3 linked regions of the Drosophila melanogaster genome follow. The protein of the gene in region 1 interacts with the protein of each later gene in a pairwise test. Each region holds a gene or a part of one and is shown in the gene's direction. Other genes may lie near its edges.

What was found.
Region 2: the proteins of Pex19 (region 1) and Arl8 interact in a two-hybrid assay, tested with the Drosophila melanogaster proteins (one large-scale study listed by BioGRID).
Region 3: the proteins of Pex19 (region 1) and CG12310 interact in a two-hybrid assay, tested with the Drosophila melanogaster proteins (one large-scale study listed by BioGRID).

What each region holds. Positions count from the first base shown.
Region 1 is NT_033779.5:12,088,005-12,097,571, forward strand, and holds Pex19 (peroxin 19), read left to right. Parts: upstream 1-3,817; 5' UTR 3,818-4,122; exon of another isoform or gene 4,123-4,354; intron 4,355-5,683; 5' UTR 5,684-5,857; coding exon 5,858-5,906; intron 5,907-5,989; coding exon 5,990-6,107; intron 6,108-6,173; coding exon 6,174-6,477; intron 6,478-6,543; coding exon 6,544-6,707; intron 6,708-6,764; coding exon 6,765-7,008; 3' UTR 7,009-7,231; downstream 7,232-9,567. Other genes in the region: CG6712 (uncharacterized protein), read right to left, coding at 7,232-8,416; Mt2 (methyltransferase 2), read left to right, coding at 8,582-8,642, 8,692-9,567.
Region 2 is NT_033777.3:8,122,990-8,132,004, forward strand, and holds Arl8 (ADP ribosylation factor-like 8), read left to right. Parts: upstream 1-3,615; 5' UTR 3,616-3,730; coding exon 3,731-3,853; intron 3,854-5,051; coding exon 5,052-5,206; intron 5,207-5,272; coding exon 5,273-5,434; intron 5,435-5,500; coding exon 5,501-5,621; 3' UTR 5,622-6,846; downstream 6,847-9,015. Other genes in the region: CG7878 (uncharacterized protein), read left to right, coding at 1-514, 570-1,078, 1,141-1,776, 1,834-2,149; CG9667 (uncharacterized protein), read right to left, coding at 2,323-2,954, 3,016-3,176, 3,240-3,262, 3,324-3,326. UniProt on the Drosophila melanogaster protein: Required for normal functioning of the late endocytic pathway including lysosome motility and late endosome-lysosome fusion. Not required for the delivery of lysosomal membrane protein-containing vesicles to late endosomes.
Region 3 is NT_037436.4:15,048,094-15,054,791, reverse strand, and holds CG12310 (uncharacterized protein), read left to right. Parts: upstream 1-3,985; 5' UTR 3,986-4,026; coding exon 4,027-4,371; 3' UTR 4,372-4,529; downstream 4,530-6,698. Other genes in the region: CG18649 (uncharacterized protein), read left to right, coding at 689-967; CG43680 (uncharacterized protein), read left to right, coding at 1,497-1,646; CG13461 (uncharacterized protein), read left to right, coding at 2,317-2,730; CG43679 (uncharacterized protein), read left to right, coding at 3,578-3,769; CG18581 (uncharacterized protein), read left to right, coding at 4,593-5,096; CG43678 (uncharacterized protein), read left to right, coding at 5,330-5,584.

The sequences.
Region 1 (9,567 bases):
TTATACTACGCGTTTCAATTCAAAATTCAACGCAAAATCTTTTAAGAAAATATTTATATGTGCTGAAAAGGAAAGCCTATTTAACTTCATTAAATTAAATAATTTTAAACATAGATTTTTGTTAATATTTATATTTTTTTACAAGTTTCTTTAATGTGGTTTTTAGTTTTTGCTGTGTTCATTTGACCTTTCCATAAATTTAAAAACCCAGACGAAAGTTGCGCAACACCTTTCATGCAGTTTGTTTTATTGCCAGGCTATAAACTTTAGTATAGCATGCCATTGCAGTGCAATAAAGTGTAGTTATAGGAACCCATCGTAAAATAAATATTTGAATCAGATATAACTTATATAACCATGCGCATTCATTCATTGCACATATTTGATGGAACTGTATTTTATATATATAACAAGTATATAGTTATCATAGTAATAGGTATGGTTTAGTCCACAGAATCCCAGGGTACTTTTCCTACCTATACTCTACAAGTTTCCGCTGCTGTTTGTGTTTGGCAATCGATTCGCTTTGGCCGGACGTAATGTGGTCTGTTGTCACACATTGGAACGGCCTTGATTGTTTCACGTTCCCCGGGTCCTAATGTCTTTATCAGGCCCTTTGGCATGGTGATTCCTTACTTTTTTTTTCTTTGGATGCTGTGGTGTGCATCGAATTTCCATGTCCACAGCCCACAGAAGGCTCTGACCGACGAACGCACTACGGGATGCTTAGATAATGGACTATTTAGAGCCATGATTTCCAGAAATTAGGGAATTCTGGAAGGCATATCGTAATACACCGTGGCAAGCAACATCTTTAGACATCGTATATTATACTTAGTTAGCAAATCTAAGTACTTAGATTCTAAAGAAATAGCACTATTTATTTAGCTACAGGCCTACTAAAGATATTTTAAGGAAAAGCAAACATTTCAACTTTTCTAATAATCCTTGTTTTTGGTTTAATGTAGTATTATATACAATTTAATTGATTTTCAATACCTTCATTTAGCTATGTTTCTAGCTGAAATCTTAAGCCCCCTGTTGATCCTGCGCTTCTGCGCTGATCCTCAAATATTTCCACTCGCTCGACAGACTGGCAGGCGGCGATTGACTTTTTCCTAATCCGCAGTAAGTTTTAGTAAATATGAGTCGCATTCTATCCCGTGGTCCATTCCATCCTATCCCATCTGAGCTGAATCTCCCAGAGCGAGTCCTTTCGCAGGAGTCCTGTGACCGGAGCGATCGTAAATCGCAATCCCCGCTAAAGCATGCAAACAAATAGCGGCAAAGTGCGAGATTAGAGGGAAAGTCGCAGCAGCTTAGATCCTGGATCCTGGCCAGCCTGTGTCCTGGATCCCGTCGATCGCCAGTTGACTTTTTCAAATATTTTGGAAAAGTTCTCGAGTGTTGATCGCCCGATTATAGCGGATAATCGCATTACAGCCCGACGTTTTATTGATCAACAATTGTAAACGATTTGCCATGGCCCATGGCAATCTGGGTGGGTCAGGACGAGTCGGGCCAACTCGGAGTCCATGTCCAGGTAGTTATCGAAAAAATGCTGCGGCTTAACGCAGCCCACGCCCACTCTACGACAAAAAGTGGGCGGAAAGCTGAGGGCCTTTCCCGATCTCCGGGCGATTAACCCTTGCTCTTGGTAGCAGTTTAGCCGGGCTAATTGAAGGCATTAGTTGTTTGTGGGTCGCGAGCTGGCTTCCCCGGAACTCCATTGTCCTTAAATTAGCATCTCTCATAGCATATATACCTTCGATCGCAATTGGTGGAAACTTCGCGCCTCTGCCCACAAACGTTTGGTTTTGGCACTCCAACCACATGACATTCGTCATGCACTCAGCGAAAATACTTAGCAAATGTTGTTCATGCAAAGAAATATTCATATTCTGTATAATTATTGCTTAAGAATATATATTTTTCAGTACCTAAATGTATAAGAATGAAGAAGCTATAAATTAAATAATAAATAGTTAGTTAGTTGAAAGGGATTATCTTCCTGTGTATTGGGACGTCACAGAGTCTGGCTGAATTTTCGCCGATCATGTAGGAAGTGTCCCAGGGGCAAAAAGGGGAGCCCCTGCCACATACACCCACTTTCGAGAAACTCATTAGCCTGGGGCACAACAAACCCGGCAACTCGGGGCACAAACAAACCAATCCCGAGCCCAATCGACTGCTAAACGCTGTCGGCACACATCTGAGAGACGGCGACGGAGGCCAACAAATTGATCATTAAACAGAAGGCGCAAATGTAGGCGCAACCCATCGTTGTCCAACAGAAGATCGTAGCATCGGAGCATCAGGTCGAGATCAAACACCTGGGCCCTCGACCTGGCGAAGAAAGTGACGAGGCTGCGACGTCAACAAGATTAATTTGTTTTCCGGCCGGGTTCCATCTCCATCCAGAGTCACAGAGCCACATCCACATCCATATTTCCCAACTCAGCCGGCAACCTGTTGTCCAGTTCCCCGATTTGTAATTGCCCTGCTTTGTGGTAGTCGATCAGGTTCGATCGCGGATCGATCATATACTCTACTATAATGGACAAACTCGATGGATGGCGAAAGAACATCATTAGTTTTCTCGGCGTAGAGTCCACAAAGTAGGTGGCGTTTTTCTCACATCCCGAGTGTTTCTATGGAATCTCGATTTGGAGATGTTGGATCTTCTCTTCGGCGGCGTTTGTCCATTAGCCACGGTTTGCATCGGATATATGCGAATTTAAATAAAATCATTCAATTGTTTCATTAATCACTGGCTACGGTCGGCGTTTTCTATTAAAAAAAATGCATTGCCAATGGAAAAATTGACTGCAGAGACCGTGATTATTTATACATTAGTGGGAAAGAATCTTCAGTTTTATGCGAAGAGCTTAAAAAGTTTCTCATGATGTCCTACTTAGAAGTGGTTTTATGTTTTAGCAATCTATAATTTCTATGAAACTTAATTGGGAGTAATTCCTAACCACTGTAATAAAAACTATTTGACCTGAGGAAGCCAAAAGCAGCTCTTGAGCCACCAAATCGATTGGGAAACATAAAACATATATGTGCTGCAGTTCACGATAAAAAAAAAGCAGGGCATGGCGAATTGGGAGGCTGCAACCGAAACGCACACTTAATTTCCGCTTAATCAAACAGAACAGCGACTGGGGGGGCACAGACAGAGCAACCCACATCATCTGGAGTCGGCTACCCTTCGACCCAATCCTCTAGAGGAAAACGTATGGCAGACGCAAGGGCTCATTTGCATGGCCACTTTGATGGAGAGCGATGGGTGTCGGAGCATGAAGAGCTCGCCCCATTGCGCAATGGTTGATGGTGGATGTTGTATGTTGGATGGTGGATGTGGGTGTCTTGTCTTTCGGGAAGCTGCCAGCAGTTGACTTCTCCAGTTCTTCTTTTCGGGGCAGGATTTCAAAGGAAAAGTGAGCGTTTTCCAGGAATGACTGGGAGCCTTGTAATCGCAATTACCATGGCCAAAATATCAAAAGATAATGCCATCCTGGCCAGACACAAAAATATGTCGAAACATATATAAATATCTTATATTTTGTGATACTTGAATGATTAATACAAGGTGTACTAAAGCTACAAGTTATTTTGAATGTAATGTAACATTCAGATTTCTAGAATCAGAGTTTAATTTAATTAGTATAATTTTTTTATTTTAAAGAACTTTTATTCCTTTTATATTACATATATATTACATATATTTAGTGTCTTAATTTATTTACTCCTTTATATATACTTATTATTTACACTTTATTACCATAGCCACACGACACCAGCCACAATATAAATAATGTGTCTATAAAGTCGCAATCATCGTCATTACCGAACAATCGCGAAATCCATTATATCCTGTTCAGTGCATCGTAAAATCGAGCATCTTTCGCTGGAAGGATGCGGAAATGTTGAAAAAAATAGCGATGCGATCAGCGAGCGTGAAATCGCAGTCAGCATATGAAAAGGATGTACAGGATCGTATCCTGGCAAAGTTCCTGCAAAAAGGAAGGGAAGTGTAGATGCTTGTGAAGACGCTGATGGGCATTTTATGACGGTTGGAATCCTTCCTCTTCTGGGGAAATAGAGCTGGAGATTCAGGTAAATTCAGCTAGTCTAGCAAACCGATTATATCGGAATAAACAACTTTATGACGCGCCTGTTGGTGCCTTAAAAATTATGTCAAAAAAGAGCGAGTTTCTTGGTTTATTGGGATCGGGTGTGAGTGTGACCCAAAAACCATTGTTTTGGCCAACGAAGGGGTTTTTACGTTTTCGACTTTTGTTTTGACTTTTTGACGGTTGTCTTGACTTTTTGAACTGAACTGCTTGGGTTCTAAGAAATTTGAAGTTGAACTATATACTCTGATGTTCGCAGCGAATAGAGAATGAAATTTTTCCCTAAAAAGAGAGTTATGGTTTTTAGGGAAATTTTTGATGTTATATGTATGCATATTCTGTAAATGGATTACAGCCCATAAAAAGTCAAATTACCCTGTTTCTGTAGGAAATGTAAGAGTTTCAGGCGGTTTGTTCCACCCTAAGCCGCAAAATAAAACACCAAATTATGCATTATTTCAGTCGAAGCTCCGCCCATGCTGACATTTTCAGAGAACCGACTGACCGAAGAAAACTCCGCCCCAATAGTGGAAATAGAGGAAAAAACACAAATTTACCACAATACTTCGCTGCGTGGGCGTACCGAATCGAAGATTCGTTTTGCTCTTCTGGTAAACCGTGCGGTTAAAGTCGCAAAGAGCACAGCCCATCCCAGCCCAGCCATTTGACCATATGAGCGGAATTGAGGAAACCAAGCGGGGTTCCTCCGCAGCGGTGACCTTCGGGCGGGAGTGGACCTAGAGCTGGACGCCCTACTGCAAAATCCATGTGTCCCGTCCATGGGTGTGACGTTCTGGTTTCGGAATTGGTCGCGCATCAGCGTCGCGCCGTGACCTTGATGGTTTTGCGACCCCTCCCTCACCACTCAGTATGTGCGGTTTGGGCTCTGGTCGCAGTTTGGTCGCCGATCTCCGTCCGCGCACAGCGAGGTGCCATTCCCGGGGAGATTGGCTGAGAGTTTCGCAGAAGATGCGTAAATATTTTGGGTGATTATTTTAGATAATCTTCGACTAATGTCCTTGGTTTGTCTCTCAAGACAGGAGGGATATTGAGGTGCTTCGAATTTAAGTTTATTAGTCTGATGTAGGCCTAGATTTAAATATGTACACTATTATATTGTAGATGGGTGTACTGATGACTTGTTGTTGTAAGACATATAATTTTCTAAATCAAAACTCGAAATTTTCATTGACAATAAATATATGTTATATGAATTAAATGGCTAGACATTTTCACACTTATGTGTAGTCCACAATAATAATGCATTCCAGATTATTTCGAAATAGGTATTCTGAACTTGTTTTGAACTTTATATAATAGTAACAAATAAGAATTCTTAATTTAAGGAATATATTTACTAAAAATTAAACAAAATATAGCTATTTTTCTTAAAAAAAACATTAAATGCATTTAAAAGTTGTTTAAGTAATATGAATTTTGTCTAAGCCCTAACCGAAACTGAAATCTTAAAATTAAAACCAACAATTATATAGAAAAGTTAATTTTTAAATTTTTTTCTTATCATTTCGCATCCTTTTAAAAAGCCGTTACGAATGCGGTCGCACTAAGATGTGAGTCAGTGTAGCCACACCTGTTCAGCTGACTGCGGTATGCACCAGCAGCAGATGAACGGTCCCACTGATTGATTCAGTCAGTCTTTATTTTTTACCATTTCCCACCCACCACGAAATCAAGGAAAAGCATCCCGAAATTGCACAATGTCCGAAGAAAAGAAGAATGGCGATGAATTAAACGACTTGCTGGACAGTGAGTACAGCCCGGAAATGCCTTTGGCGATCCCTTCTCGACCCCTTACATAATGCGCACTGCGTCGTCCACTTTTCGCACAGGTGCTCTCCAGGATTTCGATAAAAGTGGTGCCGGTGACCAAAAGGAGCCGTCCGCATCATCGGATGTGGCGACCAACGCTGGACCTGAGGGCTCCGAGGATCCAGATGCGTTTTTCATGTGAGTCAATGCGCCAGTGCAACGCGGCACTTGAACTTTGTATTCTGACCTGTTATCCGCCTTCAGTGAGCAGGCCAAGGTGCTGGCCGATCGCATGAACACGCTCTTCGGAGGTCCGGACACGCCCAGTGGCGATATTCCGCCGCTGCCCCAGGATCCCGACCAGATCATGGCCGGTTTCAAAAAGATGGCCGAAGCGGCAGCGCTCACCTTGAGCGGCGAAAATTCGGCCACCGACGAGGATGTCTCCAAGTATTCTGATAGCATTTCCCAGGCTCTCAAGGGTCTGCAAGAGGGCTCCGAGAACCTGGCTGCTCCCGCCTCGGAGAACGACATAGCCAGCATGTTTGGTTCACTGAATCTTGAAGGGGTATGCATCCTGAAAATGAAATATGAATTCTCCTTGCTCAATCATTAAACAATCCCCGTTTGACAGGCTGGCGAGGGTGATGGAAACATGTTCCTACCATTCATGGAGGGCATGATGCAGAGCCTGCTCTCGGCGGAGATTCTGTTGCCCAGCATCCGGGAGCTGCTGGAGAAGTACCCCAAGTACCTCGAGGAGAACGACGCCAAGCTCTCCGCTGAGGACAAGGAAAGGTATGCTCGAAATCAACTCGCAATAAGATACTTTTATTGAGAAACCAATACATACAGGTACCAGAAGCAGATGGAGCTGTACAAGGTGATTGAGGGGCATTTACAGAGCGAGAAGACCGAGGATTCGGCCGCCGTGAAGCGAGAGAAGTTCCGCGTCGTGCTGGACGACATGCGCAAACTGCAAGACTACGGCCAGCCGCCGCCAGAGATTCTGGCCGAGACGGGCGGCGACTTGCCCTTCGGCGATCCCACTGCCGGCGTAGCAGCCGGCGGTCCCGGTCCCCAGTGCCCAACCATGTAGTGGCTGACGGAGCACGATAGTCTCGTGGTGTGCCAATTGGTTAACTGTTGAGTGTTGCACATTTTTTAGGCTAAGGCAAATTTGTATTTTATTTTATCACCGACAAAACAATACGGCGGTCGCTAATGGTTATCACCTCTCTCTTCAATCAAGCTATTATTTTCGTATTAACTGTTGGTTTATTAAGTAGTTCTATACCTAAATACAATGCCTCGAAATACACCTAGAGGAAGAAGCGACGTCGCGACTCCATGGCGTGCCGTTTGTTGCTGATTATCCAGGCATAGTCACCGGTCTTGCTGTCGAATGTGCCCTCCTGCAGGGAACGTAGTTTCAGGGTGAACCGCGGCCCCAGTTCGCGCAGCTTTACGCGTTTTCCCTCTTTGGTGAACTCGTAGCGGTGGTGACGGAAGAATATGTAATCTCGCTGATTGTGGAACGTCACCGCTCGGCGGCCGCGGAACTCGGGATCGTGATGGAAGAGGGCACCCAGCATGCGGCCCACGGTCAGACCCAAACGTGTGGTAAAATTGTTCAGGATCACTTCGGGCCTGTGCTTGGTTATCTCCTTGTGATCGCGCTTTATGTCCGAGGTGAGCTTCACGTTGGACAGCTTGAAGTGGGCAGTGGGACCATTGGGCAGATGAATGACCAGCAGCCCATTGGGCTTTCTGCGATCTTCGTTAACGATCACGACGTCTGTGAACTCCTCGCGCTCGGCGCTTTTGCATATCTTCTTCACCGACGACTTGTTGCGAATCTTAACCAGGGCGTTGGGGAATATGCGCGAAAGCTCCAGTCCAAACTTACGCGTCTTGGTCACCGGATTGTCAGCAAAAGTGATCAGCACCTTTGGCTCGTACGAACGTTCGAAGTACGAGCTGAAATCGTCCAGTTGGAGTTCCTTTTGCAACTCCTCGTTGTCGGAATCGTTCAGATTGGCCACCTCTGTTTGGTCCTTCTCTCGCAGGCTCTCTATGGTGTGACCAGGATTGGCGGGTACACCAGCCTTCCGTCGGGCACGGCGCTCCTGCATTTTTTTCTTGTGCTTCTCCTTCTTCATTTTTTTGTACAACGCCAAACGCTGCTCCTTGTTGCGCATCCAGCTGAGGGGATTCAAAACAGGAATTCGTGTCTTCTTGTCGTCGTCGTCGTCATCATCCTCTTCTTCGTCGTCGTCGTCATTCTCCTCCTCATCGTCGTCATCATCCTCTTCCTTTAAATCCTCACTGGCTTCCCCTTGTTTGGCCGTTTTTTTGCTGCTGGAGGCGGCTTCTTCATCGCTGCTATCAGTGACTGGCCCCTCCTGGACTTCCAAATCCTGTGGCTCCTCCTCGTCAAAGCTGGAATCGCTGTCCGAGTCCTGTTCCACGGGCGGAGGGGCTGTTTTTCGCTTAATTTTTATCATTATTCCGAGAGAATCACGAATTCACAAAAATGCGAGCGGCACGTGTTGATATTCTTCTTCTTATACCAATCACACGGAAACGCAGACAATCTGCTGTGTGGGGCAGTGTTGGAAAACGTGCCACTCACAACGTGTAGTTTGTAAACAAAAATATATTTAATTAAAATGGTATTTCGGGTCTTAGAACTATTTAGTGGCATTGGCGGCATGCATTATGCCTTTAATTGTGAGTTCGTCGATCATGATACATGCGAAACTAATATATACTTTTGAAGATGCCCAATTGGATGGACAAATAGTTGCCGCCTTGGATGTCAACACCGTGGCCAATGCGGTTTATGCGCACAATTACGGCAGTAATTTGGTGAAAACTAGGAATATTCAAAGCCTGAGTGTAAAGGAAGTCACAAAGCTTCAGGCCAACATGCTGCTGATGTCCCCGCCATGTCAGCCCCACACTCGCCAGGGATTGCAAAGGGACACGGAAGACAAGCGATCGGATGCACTTACTCATCTGTGTGGACTGATCCCAGAGTGCCAGGAACTGGAGTACATACTCATGGAAAACGTCAAGGGTTTCGAGAGCTCACAGGCGCGAAATCAGTTTATTGAATCGCTGGAGCGGTCGGGATTCCATTGGCGGGAGTTTATTCTAACGCCAACGCAATTCAATGTGCCAAATACTCGATATCGCTACTATTGCATCGCCCGCAAGGGTGCAGACTTTCCATTTGCCGGTGGAAAGATCTGGGAAGAAATGCCGGGTGCTATAGCCCAGAATCAGGGTCTTTCACAAATTGCCGAGATTGTGGAGGAAAATGTATCACCCGATTTCCTGGTGCCCGACGATGTCTTGACCAAAAGAGTGCTGGTCATGGACATAATACATCCTGCTCAAAGTAGATCCATGTGCTTTACAAAGGGCTACACCCATTACACCGAGGGCACGGGCTCTGCATACACACCGCTTTCGGAGGACGAATCCCACCGCATCTTCGAGTTGGTCAAGGAAATTGACACAAGTAATCAGGATGCATCGAAGTCGGAGAAGATTTTGCAGCAACGCTTGGACCTGTTGCACCAGGTGAGACTGCGCTATTTCACGCCACGGGAAGTTGCTCGTCTAATGAGTTTTCCGGAGAATTTTGAAT
Region 2 (9,015 bases), on another chromosome or scaffold:
TGACTACGGCGGAGAAGGACGAGGCTATCGCGCTAAACGCAATGATTATGGCGGTGGACGTCGCGACAATCGGGATAATTACGGAGCAGGGCATCGTGATAGTCGCGACAGTGCCGGGGGAGGAGGAGGAGACTTTAGCGAATCCTTGAGCATCGCTTCCGAGATGGTCGGAAAAGTTATTGGAAGAGGGGGCTCCAATATATCCCGGATCCAGAACGACTTCAATGTCCGCGTCAAATTGGACAAGTGCGACTTAATAGTCAAGATAACTGGTAGCATCCAGAGCAACGTCATCGATGCTATCAATCACGTTCGCAAGCAGGTCACTAATTCGGGTGATAGGGGACAGGATCGCGATAATAGGGACCACGGTTCCAATGAAAGATATGACGGAGGCGGATACGACAGATACAAGGGGAATAGCTACGAGTTCAATCCCACTTCTTCTGAGTCCAATAAGGACAATGGGGATCTTACGGGCATCATTGATTGGGAAGCCCTGAATAAAGCTTCGGTGAGTACAAAAGAAAAATTAGATATTATACGTTCTAAACGATGTATCCTTACAGATAGCAGCTACTGCGGCACGGTGGTCCAAGTGTCCACCGCTAACAAAGAACTTTTACAAGGAGGCTCCTGAAGTGGCCAATCTGACAAAATCGGAGATTGAGCGCATTCGCGAGGAGAACAACAAGATAACAGTTTCTTATGTTTTCGAGCCAAAGGAGGGGGAAACGTCACCGCCTATTCCAAATCCAGTTTGGACCTTCGAGCAATGCTTTGCCGAATATCCAGATATGCTTGAGGAGATTACCAAAATGGGCTTCTCCAAGCCCTCGCCCATCCAATCGCAGGCGTGGCCCATTCTCCTCCAAGGTCATGACATGATCGGTATCGCCCAAACAGGCACTGGCAAAACACTAGCCTTCCTTTTGCCCGGAATGATTCACACCGAGTACCAGAGCACGCCCAGGGGCACGAGGGGCGGAGCTAACGTTCTGGTGCTGGCACCCACTCGGGAGTTGGCTCTGCAAATCGAAATGGAGGTCAAGAAGTACTCCTTTCGTGGCATGAAAGCGTAATTATCCTAATCGAACATGAAGTGAGTTCCCTTTTTAACCAAAATAACACAATTTGCAGGGTTTGCGTGTACGGCGGTGGCAATCGCAACATGCAGATATCCGACTTGGAGCGCGGTGCGGAGATCATTATCTGCACTCCGGGACGCCTGAACGATTTGATAATGGCCAATGTCATTGATGTAAGCACCATCACTTATCTGGTGCTTGACGAGGCAGATCGCATGCTGGACATGGGTTTCGAGCCGCAGATCCGGAAGGTGATGCTAGACATACGTCCGGACCGTCAGACCATAATGACGTCGGCCACTTGGCCACCAGGAGTACGTCGTTTAGCGCAGAGCTATATGAAGAATCCCATCCAGGTGTGTGTCGGATCGCTCGATCTGGCAGCCACGCACTCGGTGAAACAAATTATTAAATTGATGGAGGATGACATGGACAAATTCAACACCATTACATCTTTCGTTAAGAACATGTCCAGTACGGACAAGATCATCATATTTTGTGGACGCAAGGTTCGTGCTGACGACCTATCCAGTGAACTTACGCTGGATGGTTTCATGACCCAGTGCATTCATGGTAATCGCGATCAGATGGATCGTGAGCAGGCTATTGCCGATATTAAGTCCGGCGTCGTGCGCATTCTGGTTGCTACCGATGTGGCATCACGTGGCCTGGACATTGAGGATATCACGTAAGCAAATTTTTCGAGTCGAGGAACCCATTAGTCATTATTTTTTCATCCACAAAGACATGTCATCAACTATGATTTTCCGCACAACATCGAGGAGTATGTGCACCGTGTTGGTCGCACCGGACGTGCTGGCCGACAGGGCACATCAATAAGCTTTTTTACGCGCGAGGATTGGGCTATGGCCAAGGAACTAATTGAGATACTGCAGGAGGCGGAGCAGGAAGTGCCCGACGAACTGCACAACATGGCTAGACGCTTTAAAGCCATGAAGGACAAGCGCGCTGCTGAAGGTGGCGGTTTTGGAGGAAGAGGTGGTCGTTTTGGAGGCGGACGTGGCGGCGGACGCCGAAATTTCGATCAATTTCAATACTGATTCATTCTACATTTTCTAGTTATAAGAGACTAGAGCGCATTGAAGTGCCTTGCCAAAAATTGTTTAACTATTTATCTATTCCAATTATAGATGATCATAACCCAAAACATGCCGTGTTAAAAGAACACGCGATTTAAATGTATCAAACTAAGAGTTTAGAATGTTTATTGAGCTTAGTTAGTGCCACCGGCGTATTTCTCCAGCAGTTCCCGTTTCCGCTGGCGCAGCAGTGCTTCCTGTACATCTTGTTGCGTCGGCACGGGAACGTGAGCGGTGAACTTGGATGCCAATAGGCCATGAGGATCCTCCACGGCGGCTCGAGCCTTGGCATCCTCGATGGCTTCGCGTGCTGGTCCCGAAAGGGGATATATTTCATCCTCCTCTTCGTCATCGATTATGCGACCATCTCTGGCCATTTTCTCCCGCCATTCCTGCACGGCCTTCTGAATGGCCGCTCGTTCGATGCGTTCCTCCAGAGGGATCAGAACACCATCTTCGTCATCTCGATAGCCGTAGTATTCGGCATCTATGTCCTTCATTAGTTCAGCGCGTGATTTCCTGGGTGGCGGCGGAGGATCCTGTTCAAAGAGCTCGCGAACACCCGGCAGATCCTTGGCGGCTCCAAAGTATTTGTAGCCTCGATTGCCGGGAACTTCACGGCCCTCCGCATCGAACATCTTGGGACCATAGCGTCTATAGTGGGGGCCACCCAATGAGGATATCTGATTTTCCCAATGCCGTTTCTCACGCAATAACTTGTTGATTTCATCGTTCAGATCGCGAATCCGGAATTCTCCCAAGCCAGCTATAAGTGGTCGCTATTAGTGTATATTGTTAGGGAGAAATAAATAAACCGAAATAGGTACCATTCTGTATCTGGGCCACCTTCTTCGATATGTCGCGTATTATCTCCAGGCGGAACTTCTCACATCTGGGCAAATCGTGGCACTCGGAGGCCAAATAGGGCCGGCGTTCCTTTTCACCAGATTCCACTTCTTTTGCGGCCCGCCAACGTGCCAAAGTTGTCCTGTCGAAAATAAGCGGATGAGTGCTGGAAATCTTATGTTATACGTATATCCGGGTTACTTACATTGCCTTCTCTGCATTGCGCGCCTGAAAATATACATGTATTATTCATTTAATTAAAATTAATAAAATTTTCACATCATCTTACCATTTTGTTTACTAACTTCTTCTGCCTTAATTGCCAGTCACAGCGAACTATACGGAAATCGGTTACACGTTATCGATAGCAAGTACAGTAAATATTGTCCAGTAGCGATTTCACATATATTTTAAATGCAATTTATTAATAATATTCCCGATGAAACCCGAAGACATAATATTATTTATTTGTACTTAATATATATATACCATATGAATTTTATTTTCTCTTAATTGGATACATGCTGAAATAAACGATTACCATTCACTACGAATACTACTAAGTACACTACCGCGCACTTGGCCACACTGACCTGCCCAGTTGTTTTTTCACGACAACATTTACGCTCTTTGGAAAAGGAAACCTTTTTTCGCGAATTTCAAGCAGATCCCGACCAGAAACACACCTGCCCCAGGATGTTGGCCCTCATCAACAGGATCCTCGAGTGGTTCAAGAGCATCTTCTGGAAAGAGGAGATGGAACTCACGCTAGTGGGGCTGCAGTTCTCCGGGAAGACGACGTTCGTCAATGTTATTGCAGTGAGTATTTTCGCAGTGGGTGTGTGCGAATTCGTGTGGGTGTATGGGTGAGAGGGTGGTTTTTTTTGTGTGTGGTTGTCTGTTGTGTGGGTGGGGAGGGGGTTCACGGAAAGCCGGGGGATCAGCTACTACTTAAAAAGCATTACAAACCCCCAGTGACAAAGGAATTGGTCTTAGCTTGATTCCCCCACTCTAACATTGTTTATTTCTTATCTTTTCGTACTCCCAGTTTCTTTCACTGCATCCGTAATTAACGCTGTGCTAACCGTTTCCTTTTAGTGGTAAAGTTTACCGTTCCTGCCGCTGTAATCAATAAACCTACATATAGCCCATATATACGCATGTTTCTCCGCACAATGACGCCATTATCAGCACTTCAACCCCTGACCCCGTATTCCCGTACCGCCTCCCTGGTTTTTTTCACACATTTCTGCACGCTGATAATGCGACGATCTCAAGTTACCATTTACTGGAACTCGTAGATAGTTGCATACACTTGCCAGTCGTTGCGGGAGGTGGAGTAACTACTGCCTTTGTGACCGCCTGACTTATTATGAGTCATGTGAATTCGATTCAAATGTCTGCCCGCATCTACGGGAAATTTGTTTGTTCAAGTGCTCCCGAAACGGAAATATTCCCCTGCTTATCACTGCTATTAGACTCCAATTCCGTGTTTGCATTCAGATTCGTGCATTAGTGTAATGTTCAGGTTCGGAATGAAAACAAACTTGTGGGTGGCGCCAATTAGTCACTTTTCCCATTTCACTAGCGACTGCTAACCTATAGTATACCTTTTTAATTTAAACTAAGTCACAGAAGTAACATCTTGCCATTTTAGGAGCTTTCGATTCTCTTATTGAATGCATATGTAAGGTGATTGATGCTGATACAGAACAAAGATTTATGGGTTAGAATCAATTATCAATTTAAGTGTTGTATGTTGAATTAAATTTAGTACCAAAAGACATTGTTTGATCAATACTTTAAGATATTACAATAGTTATTTATTTAAGAGCATTTTCAAAAAGAATAACAAATTTTTTAAGGTTTTGGATGCTGTCATGTGTAAAAAATCAATTTTTTACACGAGTTTTACATTATTTTGGATTGCATACTTCTAGGCTTTGTTCTTTGCTAATATAAAAGTTGTATTTTATTTAAGACACGATTACTTACTAATTATTTTTGTTTCTTGTAGTCCGGCCAATTCGCTGAGGACATGATACCCACAGTTGGATTCAACATGCGCAAGATCACCAGAGGCAATGTGACTATCAAGGTGTGGGACATCGGAGGCCAACCTCGATTCCGATCCATGTGGGAGCGCTATTGTCGCGGCGTTAATGCGATTGTGTAAGCAATAATGATACTTAAGCAACAATCGGTAGTCAAGTAACACTGTAATGTATTAATCAACAGCTACATGGTGGACGCAGCCGATCTGGACAAATTAGAGGCCTCGAGGAACGAGCTGCACTCACTGTTGGACAAACCGCAGCTCGCCGGCATTCCAGTTCTCGTGCTGGGCAATAAACGAGATCTTCCAGGCGCTCTCGATGAAACCGGACTCATCGAACGAATGTGAGCGCCTTAAAATTGTTAAAACTATTTAAAAATTATAAATTAATCATTTAAAATAAATTGCAGGAATCTATCGAGCATACAGGACCGTGAAATCTGCTGTTATAGTATTTCCTGCAAGGAGAAGGACAACATTGACATCACGCTGCAGTGGTTAATTCAACATTCGAAAAGCCAAAGTCGTTAGATAACGAACACCGACATACACACAACTCCGTACCCTCTACACTCACACACTTAGGCACTATATCTCACACATATTTTAATTTTATTGTTTTTGTATTCATTATATATTTTACATTTCGCTTATATGCTTCGATGCGGATTATTTTCAACTGGAATTTTTGCTTAGCGAAAACTGGAATGCGAAAGCAGCGGAAAAGCATAAATTATAAAGACGTTTTAAACTATAAATATATATTAAAACAATATGAATGTAAATTCAATTAAGCAAGTGAAAGCCATAGTTAAAGAAATTCCATGATTGATTGTAAAATATGCAAAAAAAAAATTGTTGAGGTTTTCTAGCTGCAGCCAAAAAACCGAATTGCGATTCTTAAGCCTTGTCACGCTTTTCCTATACTCATTAACATTCACCTAGTTAATTATGATAATTTATATGAAACAGCAATGCAAATTATAAACTACAATAACCAAATTTTGAAAACTGATAACGAGCAAGGCATACAAACAACAGCAATAAAACGAAAAATAAATGAAAAACCAATAAAGACAAATTATAAAAACATTACAAAACCCCAAGTGAGTCTCATAAATTACAAATAACTGAGATTGCGGCGATTGAAAGCATCAAATATTCCAAACACTTGTTCGAATGTAATTTATAGAGTCAAGACGACCAGCATTAGTCGGCCACCCAAATGCAGACGTTGCAGGCTAACAATTGATAGATGCAGACAGCCCTATGAACGCATAAATATTGGAAAACGAGGTGCCATGGCCCTTGGCTAATTAGAAATTCTGTGTGCAGAATCAAGTCACTGCTACCGGAGGATAGCCACGGAGGAGGGGAGCAGGTGGACAAGGGCTCCGACTTCCAGGAATACGCGTCAAGCACGAGCCGTGCGATTGAGTGAGTCATGCTCAAATGCTTGCATGCCCCATGTCTCTGTAGCTTCCTGCTTCCTTTGGAAGTCCGAATACGTAGCAATCTTCCTGCCGCACACATTGCGCGTTCGTTTCCTAAGTCTTTCGTTTTGTCGCTCGCCTCATATTTCAAATTGCGTTAATTACACTTTTAAATGCGGGGTATTAACAGGGCCAGCGATAAGCATCTCGCTTCGCAGCCATTTGCCACAAGCCAAACATTCGGCCACAACTCGAGGCGAATCTCCGAAAAAAAAAGAAAAATATACCGCTAACGATGTGCTCGTAAATTTTCATACCAAAACTATAAACGAGCATCAACAACAAGCCGAAAACATTTGCGAACATTACGCATATGCCCTGTGCTTAGATGTCGTATAAAATCGTAAAGACAAATGGACAGTGCGGTTCATAGCTTTAAAACAACTAATTGATATACTATACATAGAAGTGATGAAACAAATGGTTCGTTGTTTGTCATTGAATTGACGTATTCATTAACTGATTAGTTGACTGGTCTTTAATTGCAAGTGGGTTTATCTGATCTGAAGTTGTCAGCGATAGCAAATTGAATCGACTTTTTTATGCTGATTAATTATTGCAGAATCAATTGGTTAGACAAGTGGAAGTCTTTCGAATAAATGGCTTGTGACTCTATTCGCTTTAACTTTATGAACCCCACTGTATTCGACGTGTAAAATAAAAATGATATTCTTGCTGATGCCACAAAGGCAGACGGTGCTTAGTTCTTTCTGCTTAATTTTCAGCGATTTGTGCGACTTGTGCTGATTATATAATGACAAATAAAACATTCCCAAACAACATTTAAATTTGTTGTAGCTGTTTTTTATATTTTCGCAGACCCCATCGAGCCAGATCCATTCATTTGTATGCGCCACAGTTGCCATCATCGTGACTCCTTTGATGAAAAGCCGTCAAGTCAAAAAATGCAAAAAAAAACAAAAAATTAATGATGAAAATGAAATAAAAAAAAATAGAGAAAAGAATGAGCAAATCACATTGACAAAAAATAAACTAGGCGGCGTGTTGACCATAAATTTACGCAGAAATACCTAATTTATATATTCAAGATAATTTATTAATATGTGGATTACACTCTCTTGGGGTTCCTGCGAGTCGGTGGAGATTCAGTGATTGATTTCTGAGATGATAGCTTTTCACTAGAAAAAGGTAGCTCAATATGTGTTATCTCCTATACCAAATAGTTTAGCAGAGTGCCATTAAAGTAAGTCAACCTTCAATCGATCGCCATTTTCTAACCAAATTGTTCTTAAATATATTTTAATTGAAGACCCCCACAATGGTTGCTGCACGAGGCCACCAAAAGTGTGTCTGGCCCGAACATGCTGTGCCACCTGAAAAGTTCCTGGAACTGTGGCATTGGACCCCTGCCCAGAAACAATAACCCGAAGCTGGCATAAAGTTCAGGTCTTAACAAGATGGAACAAAAGGCTGTCTGGCTGGATTGGATTGGGGGCTGATGCTGATGGTGAGGCTCTACCGCGTACTCGCCAGACTCGTGGGCAACAGTTTTCATGTTTGGCTCTTATTTTGCTTTATTTTCTTGCAGACTGTCAGTAGCCGAGTCGGGAGATGGTAAGTTTCCGCGGAGGTGGCAAGGGTAAGAAGGCCAAAACGCGACGACAACTTGGCTGACAAGAGGGCGAATGCAAATAAGTCTCGTAGCCGGCTCATTTCTGTTGAATTCACTAAACTCCGTACTGCCGATTTCCACCTCTGGCTTGATTTATCTGGCATTTTATTGGCCAGCGCCATTTGCCTTCTTAGCCTCGACGGCCTAGACCATAATTTACGCATCCTCCTGCCAATGTATGAGGTTGCTGTTTTTCTTTTCATTTTTTTTAGGCCCGGCCTAATAAAGTTCTCTCAGGTGTGAAAAGGCCTACACTTGCATACGAGGCAGCTTAATTGATGACAACATCTTGGAATTTTCGTTGGTATTCCAATCCGAAGTTGTCGCCAGTCCGCCAGTTCTTCTTCGATTGCCTTTTGCTCTTGGGCCCAGCTGTTAGCGCTGACTTGGCTCTTTGGCCGCTTGGCCGCTTGGCTGGCCAACTGAAATCAGTTAAATAATGAAACATTTGCACGATACTGGCGAATCGGAATCGAAATCGTATCGCGCGCCAACTCGAGCCAGGCTCTTTGGCCAAGGATAGGGAATTGAAAACTGGCTAAAACGGCCAGCTCAACGGCAGCGAGCAACAACAATCAGCACAATCCGCAGTTGTATGGTGCTACATATCGTACAAGATTTCCGGGAATTGAAAACTGCTAAAAATCGTGTTTGATTTTATACGTTGCTGTTGTTGTTGTCCGCTCCTTATGCATGCAATTTGGGGGGGATTTCGTACGGTGGAGAAAGAAGGGACCTGCAGCATCTACGATACGCGTCGTGGTTCAACATGCAATCGCAACAAACGAAAGCAGCTTGT
Region 3 (6,698 bases), on another chromosome or scaffold:
CTGAGACTATGATTTTCAATTAGCTTATCTTTGTTTTTATATCTTTAAAAAGTTGTCCAAATCGATCGATTTATTGTGACATGATTACATTATGCTAACAATCGTCAAGGTTCCATCATGGCCTACGATATATTTAGTTAGAAGTAGTTATTGTTTTTGGCTTACCACAAATACGACACCGAACATGTGAGTAAATATTAAGAAGTTTCGAGTAAGCGGAGCAAAACAAGCTAATGTGCTATGAATCAGAAAATAAGAATATGGAGGGCCATTCCCAAAATTTGTAAACAATTGTAGGTGGAACAGTGGTTATTCTACAAAGAAATAAAAAGGAGTCATTAATTTGATATAGACATTTTCATAAGCAAGTTAACTATGGATTATAACATGCTGTGTTTGCTTTCCTTAGGTTATACAATATATTGTATATAAAAGTATGACGTTAGCCACGTTTCACTGTAATCTTTATACGTTCTCCAAGTTCCGTCAGTCAAATGTTTACGCACGACTTTGCCTCATTTTTTGACGCTCAAACCAAGGCAACAGCTGTCGCGGGGTAAACACAAAACGAACCAAATAAATTGTCACAATGCGCGCTTTTATTTTTCTGCCAATTTAGAGATTTTGCTATAAAAGCGTATTTTCAATGTGGAACTGAACTTAGTTGAAAACTAAATTTGACAATACAATGCGTGCCTATTTGCTGCTTGCCCTGTTTGGATGTGTGCTTTTGGCCACAGTTTCCGCAAATCCGGTGGACATTGACGACTTGGAGGACCTCGAGGAGGACAAACGAATTGCTGATGAGCAGGATAATGCTAACGATGATGAGAAAGACGATGAGGATTCAAATGAACCCGAGTCCGACGACGACTTAGATGAGCCTGAATCCCCGGAGGACGATTCCCAGAACAATGATGATTCCGAAAGCGACGAGAGCATCCAGTACAATCAAGATGAAGAGTAGCTCTAATGGGAATTAACCCTTTCTATTCTTTATTGTCTTTATCTACACGCTTTCACCGGTCGTTAGACGTTTAAACAACTGTTTACACAGAAATACACAGTTCATCTTCAACAACCAAATAAGTAAAGGTTTTTATGTTATTCTAGTAAATACACACATTTCTGGAAACACCCATCATAATTGGTGCTTTTTACTTAACTTCTTTTTATACAGCTCTTAAATGATTTTGTAAAGAATTACATACTAAACAAAATCTTAAAAATGCAATTTTTATTTAATTAATTGGCCTCAAAGCCACTCTTAATACTCTTATTTCAGCGCAGGGAAAAAGAAATAATTTTCTGCCTGTAATGTGTGGCTCAATAGATCAATAAATGTTTTATCTCTCAAATATTTACTTAACATTAGTAAGGTGCAGCCATTGTGCAGTTTGCAATAGAAATTTTAAAGCAAACACGGCATTCATATATAAGAAGTGCAGTACTTTGAAAAAACTTATTCAAAGAAGAACTAAGTCTACGAAATAGAGATGCACTTTCTGATGGTACTCGTGATAATTGCTCTTTTGGCCATGGCCTTTGTGAGTGCAAGCCCACTTCCCCATCCAAGTGGAGAAGTTATCGTTATTGTCAACCCAAAAGCCCCAGTTGACTGGTGCTCTACAACATCAGCGGCTTAAATTCGAAAATACAAAAATATTTAGAAATTCTCCCCCGATGCAATTTCTCAAACACAAAATATGAAATGAGCAACTGATAAATCACCAATAAAGAAAATAAAAATAAAACTTATTCAGGGTAAAACTTTTAAATACGTTTTTTGGTCTTTATAAGTTAAATGAAATCAATAAACGTTTTGAAGTTCGATTTGGAGATATCAGATTTTTTATTTTGCTTTATATTAGCACATATTACCACGACGGAAATGAAAATCCTTTAGGCGAAGTAAATAGTAATGAAGGTAAGAAAATTTGTATCTAATGTTTTAAAAAGGCCAAAAACCATTCACTATCTTTTTAATTCAATGATTGCATGCGAGTGTGTAATAAATATGACAAAATAAAAACAGAGGTCGCTATAGTCAAGTGCCACGACTATTAGATACCTGTTAATCAGAATAGAGGCAAGCACAACGAACCCACTTACTCAAAACAATTCTGGACAATTCCCAGAATAATATCAATTAAGATTGTGCGTCACCACGCAATAATGGGATAAGCATTTGTTCAAATATGAAATTCGTAAATGACTCGTTCAAATAACAAAAAAAGGCATTTAATATAAAAAGCGATTGATCGAGTAAAGTTTCAAATCAGTTTAAAACTTCGCTGAGCACAAGAACACAAAAAAATGCGATTCCTAATTGTCGTTGCTCTTGTGGCCTTTTTGGCTGTTGGTCTTGTGGCTGCACGGCCAGCTGAGGATGAGGAGTCCTCCATCCAGGATAACACCAATGAGGATTCGTCCAGTAATGATGGCGAGGGAAACTCCGATGCTGCCGAGGAAGAACCTGCTGTTGAAGAAAGTCAAGATTCTGGAAATGTGGATAACCAGGATGATGAAAATAGCGAGGATAATCAGGAGGAGTCAGATAATGAATCAAGCGGAGATGATGAGGAAGATAACAACGGGTCTGATGATAATACCGAATCGGATAATAATAACGATTCAGAAGGCGATCAGGAGCAGGATGCTCCACCCAACAACCAGATTCGACCATTCGGACCTCTTCTCATCCAAGCAAGGCCCCTTTTCCTCGATTAATAACACGTGTTTTTAAAATATCCATTAACAATAAACATTAGACAAAATGCTTTAAAATTATACAACAAATAAAACAGTAAATAAATTAAAGCTATATATGTCGATCGATATGAAAAAACGCCACAAAGTATATAATACTTTTTGCAGAATTTGTTTAGCTTGAGGGGCTTGTCTACACAGTTAAAAAAATTATATAGAATGAATACGCTTTCATACCATCAGTTTTTAAAAAAATGTATGCTTAAATGTCAGTTAAATAACAGTCTTTGGTATTTAAAATCTGGCCACAAGATTTTAAATAATTTGATTTTGCTAATATGCTGATATTATATATATAGTTAAAGTAAATTATTTCATTTAAAGTACCATAACACAAGATAAGCTGTATGTCATAACCCCAAGTATTTTCGTTAAAATCCCGTGTTACAGAATTGCTTTAGCAATTTTTACGGCTATTTTATTGTAAAACAATATATCTCTAAAGTTTTTGACTGCCATTCCCAGTGATATTATAGCAACAATGATTATATGGGGAATTTGAATAATTTCGTGCTACAGAATTTATATATTTTCAAGTTATTTTTAGTGCAAAGAAAGCTGCTTATGATATATGCCTCTCAGTTCCTAAATATATCTCTTAAATTGTAGTTCACTTACATCGTCAGGTGACGGAAGAGTTGGCAGATAAAACTGCAATATTTACTTTTGTACATATATGGCAATCTACAGATTGCACAGCTTGGCAGGTAAAATTTTTCTGAATAAGAAGAAACATTCCGTTTTTTATATAAAATGTGCAGTTGATAGGAGAAAGGTGTAGTTACCGGAGAAATTCAAGTGGATTAAGATGCGTTATTTAGGAATTATTGCTCTCGTCGCTTTCCTGGCCATTTCCACTGTGATGGCACATCCATATGCGAACAGTAGCACTGAAGAAGGATCAGGATCCAGTAACCGATCGACTATTCGTCCTGTCCCCAGATGGCCTAAGTGGGGTGGAATCGGTCCAGTCATTTTAAACACTCCCCCCACTCCGTGACAATGAACTACGGAAAGAAATTAATTGTGAAACCCCACAACGAACCTTTGTTGTTGTCTAAAAAAAAAAATATCTCCAAAAATACGCTTGTAAAACTTTCCATTGAGACAATTGTTCAAATACCAAAGCGTAAATAAAGATTTCGTAGTAGATTCTACGAATCGGCCAAAATTTGCGAGACTTTTCCTATAAATAGCTGAATGTTGTACGAAATGGGAAAGCAGTTTTCGCGATAACTTCTTAGACTCAACTTCAAAATGCGTTCCCTGATTCTTGTCGCTCTTTTGGCCTTCTTGGCTGTTGGCTTTGTGGCTGCCCGTCCAGCTGAGGATGAGGAGTCCTCCGCTGCCGTGGTTGAGAATGCCGATGAGGATTCGACTAGCAATGATGCGGAGAGCACCGAAGCCACTGATGCGGAGGAATCTTCTGATGATGAGGAGACGACTGAAGAGTCTGGTGATGCCGCTGACGAATCCAGCGATGATGCCGATGAGGATGAGACAACCACTGCAGCTTCGGCCAAGAAGCAGATCCGTCCCTTCTGGCCCAGGTTCGGAGGTCATGGTCCAGTTGTGATCAGGCGTCACCCTAGTCTTGTCTAGGTCAAAGCCCTATAGTCTTGATTGCTTAACTATTCCTTTCTATTTTCTAAATAAAAAATGTTATCTTTAACTCAAACTAAAAATTCAAACTTTTCTACCAATTTTCTATACAACTCTATTTTTTTCAAAACAAATAAAGTGAAATTTCAAAAATTAAGAAAACATTAAAAGCAGCTGATTCTTTTGTAGCAGCAGCCAGTATTGTTTAGAACGTTGAAGAAATGCGTACTTTGTGTGCTCTAAGTTTGATCGCTTTTATGGGCATAACCCTAATATCTACAAAGCCATTAGATGAATCTATCAAACCGAAAGTTTTAAGGCCACTAAATCAAGCGGATTTGGATAAAATGATAAAAAACTTGCAGTTGCTTGAAAAATTAGCCAATGAGACATATTATTCACCAGATCCCACCAAAAAGGAGACATACTTAACGCAAGATCAAAAGGCGGAGGAAACTAAAGAGCCAACTGGAGAGGAAACCGAGGAACCTTCTGGAGAGGAAACTCACAGTCCTACGGGAGAGGAAACCAAAAGTCAAACTGGAGAAGATGGCGAGTTCTTCGAAGATGAAGAGGAGGAAGATGAAGCGACTGTGGATAAACCAACTGATGTCATACCAGTTAATTTTCTAAAATATCCCGAGCACGAAGCTGATTTTAAGTCTTATCCAAGGTTTGCAATCCTTCGAAATGGCTATGTGCATCACATGAACTTGGACTTTTAGCGTTTACGCAATTTCATCACAAATTCGAGCTAATGACGTGTTCTCAAGAACATTGTCAGTTAATGTCGATAGATGGGGAAATTCCGACTACAGTCAGGTGGTTTGCACAGCTGTGACTCTGAATAAAAGTTAGATCTGTGGTACCTATGTATGAGTTTGTTTTCCTATAGCTATACCTACAAACAGTGTGCTCCGAGCCACACATTTGAGTAGTTTTGTTTTTAGTTACCAAAATGCGTCTCTACGTTGGGTTACTATCGGTTTTGGCCCTTACTTTTATGATTGCCTTAATCACGTGTGCTGATTCATCATCTGGAAAGTCCCGGAATCGCGAAGATCGATTTGATCTAGAAAACGAGAGCTTTAATAATCAAGGAAGTGACGAGCTAATTGCGTCATGTGAAAGTAAAGAGAGTGTGGAAATCAATAGCTGTCGTCAGGGGAAAAGTAAATACCCCAAAAGAAAGACATTTAAATTCGCCATTTAGTTAAAACATTCGATAATACTGTTCTCAATAAAAATGTATTAAAAACAAATAATAGCTATGATGTTTACTTGGTTTGGTTTTTATAGTTAGAATATATTTTGATAAGTACTGATTTTTGATCATGCAGGCCATAGTTTTTTGCTATTCTTTAAATATATTATTTATACAGCATTTGCTTTTAAAGATAATTTTTTTCACAAAATTGTATAATGTATATATAATTTTTCTTTTTATAGTTAAACAAGTTGTGAATAAGTTGTGTATTCAATTTGTATTTTCAGTGAATTCAACTCATCGGCAAGATGGTTATGGTTAGTTCCGCGGTTCTGGGGGCCGCAGCCGGTACAGGATTGGCCCTGATCCTGGCCGTGACAATCGTCATGTACCGCTACTACCTTCTGCGTAAGCGTGGCAAGGAGTGGGACGAACTGGACCGCTGGGAGGAAACGCGCATTATGCGGAAGCTGCAGATGAAGGTAGGCGACTGACGCAGTCTGTTAATGTTAATGTGATTGCGGCCAGAACGAGGCGAGGACACCCCGTGAAGTTGCAGACGCACAGCTGACACTACCAGGCCAGAATGATATGGAGCACAAAGTTGGCCGAATAGCGTGGGAGGTTGGTCTGCCTGTAAATGACATAGGTCCAATGGTTTCATAAATACGTTATATGGGGATGCTTACTTTGTTTGTTTTGAAATCTCTTTAAGAATTCTTTTGTTTTAATTATATTTCAACTTGTGCCTAAGATTAATATAATATAGACCGTGGGCTATCGAACGGATTTCTTGGTTGTTTTTCAAACCAACTGACTGCAAGGACGGCTGAGATTTGAGTTTACACGCTTATAATACAGTGGCGCCACTATTTCAATTACATGTAGCGGCGAACTTCTGAACTAGTGGTATCTACACTTTATCTACATTTCATGTAAAATACTGGTTTTTCTGATTTCAATATAAGAAATTGTAATCTACGACTATCTAATAACAATATTAGGTATTAAAGATCAAGAATAACATGGCTTAGGAAATGATATGGTCACTATAGCAAATATGTATAAATTGCGTTTAACAGTGACGATTTTTTGGGTATTTATCTTAAATTTTATTGAC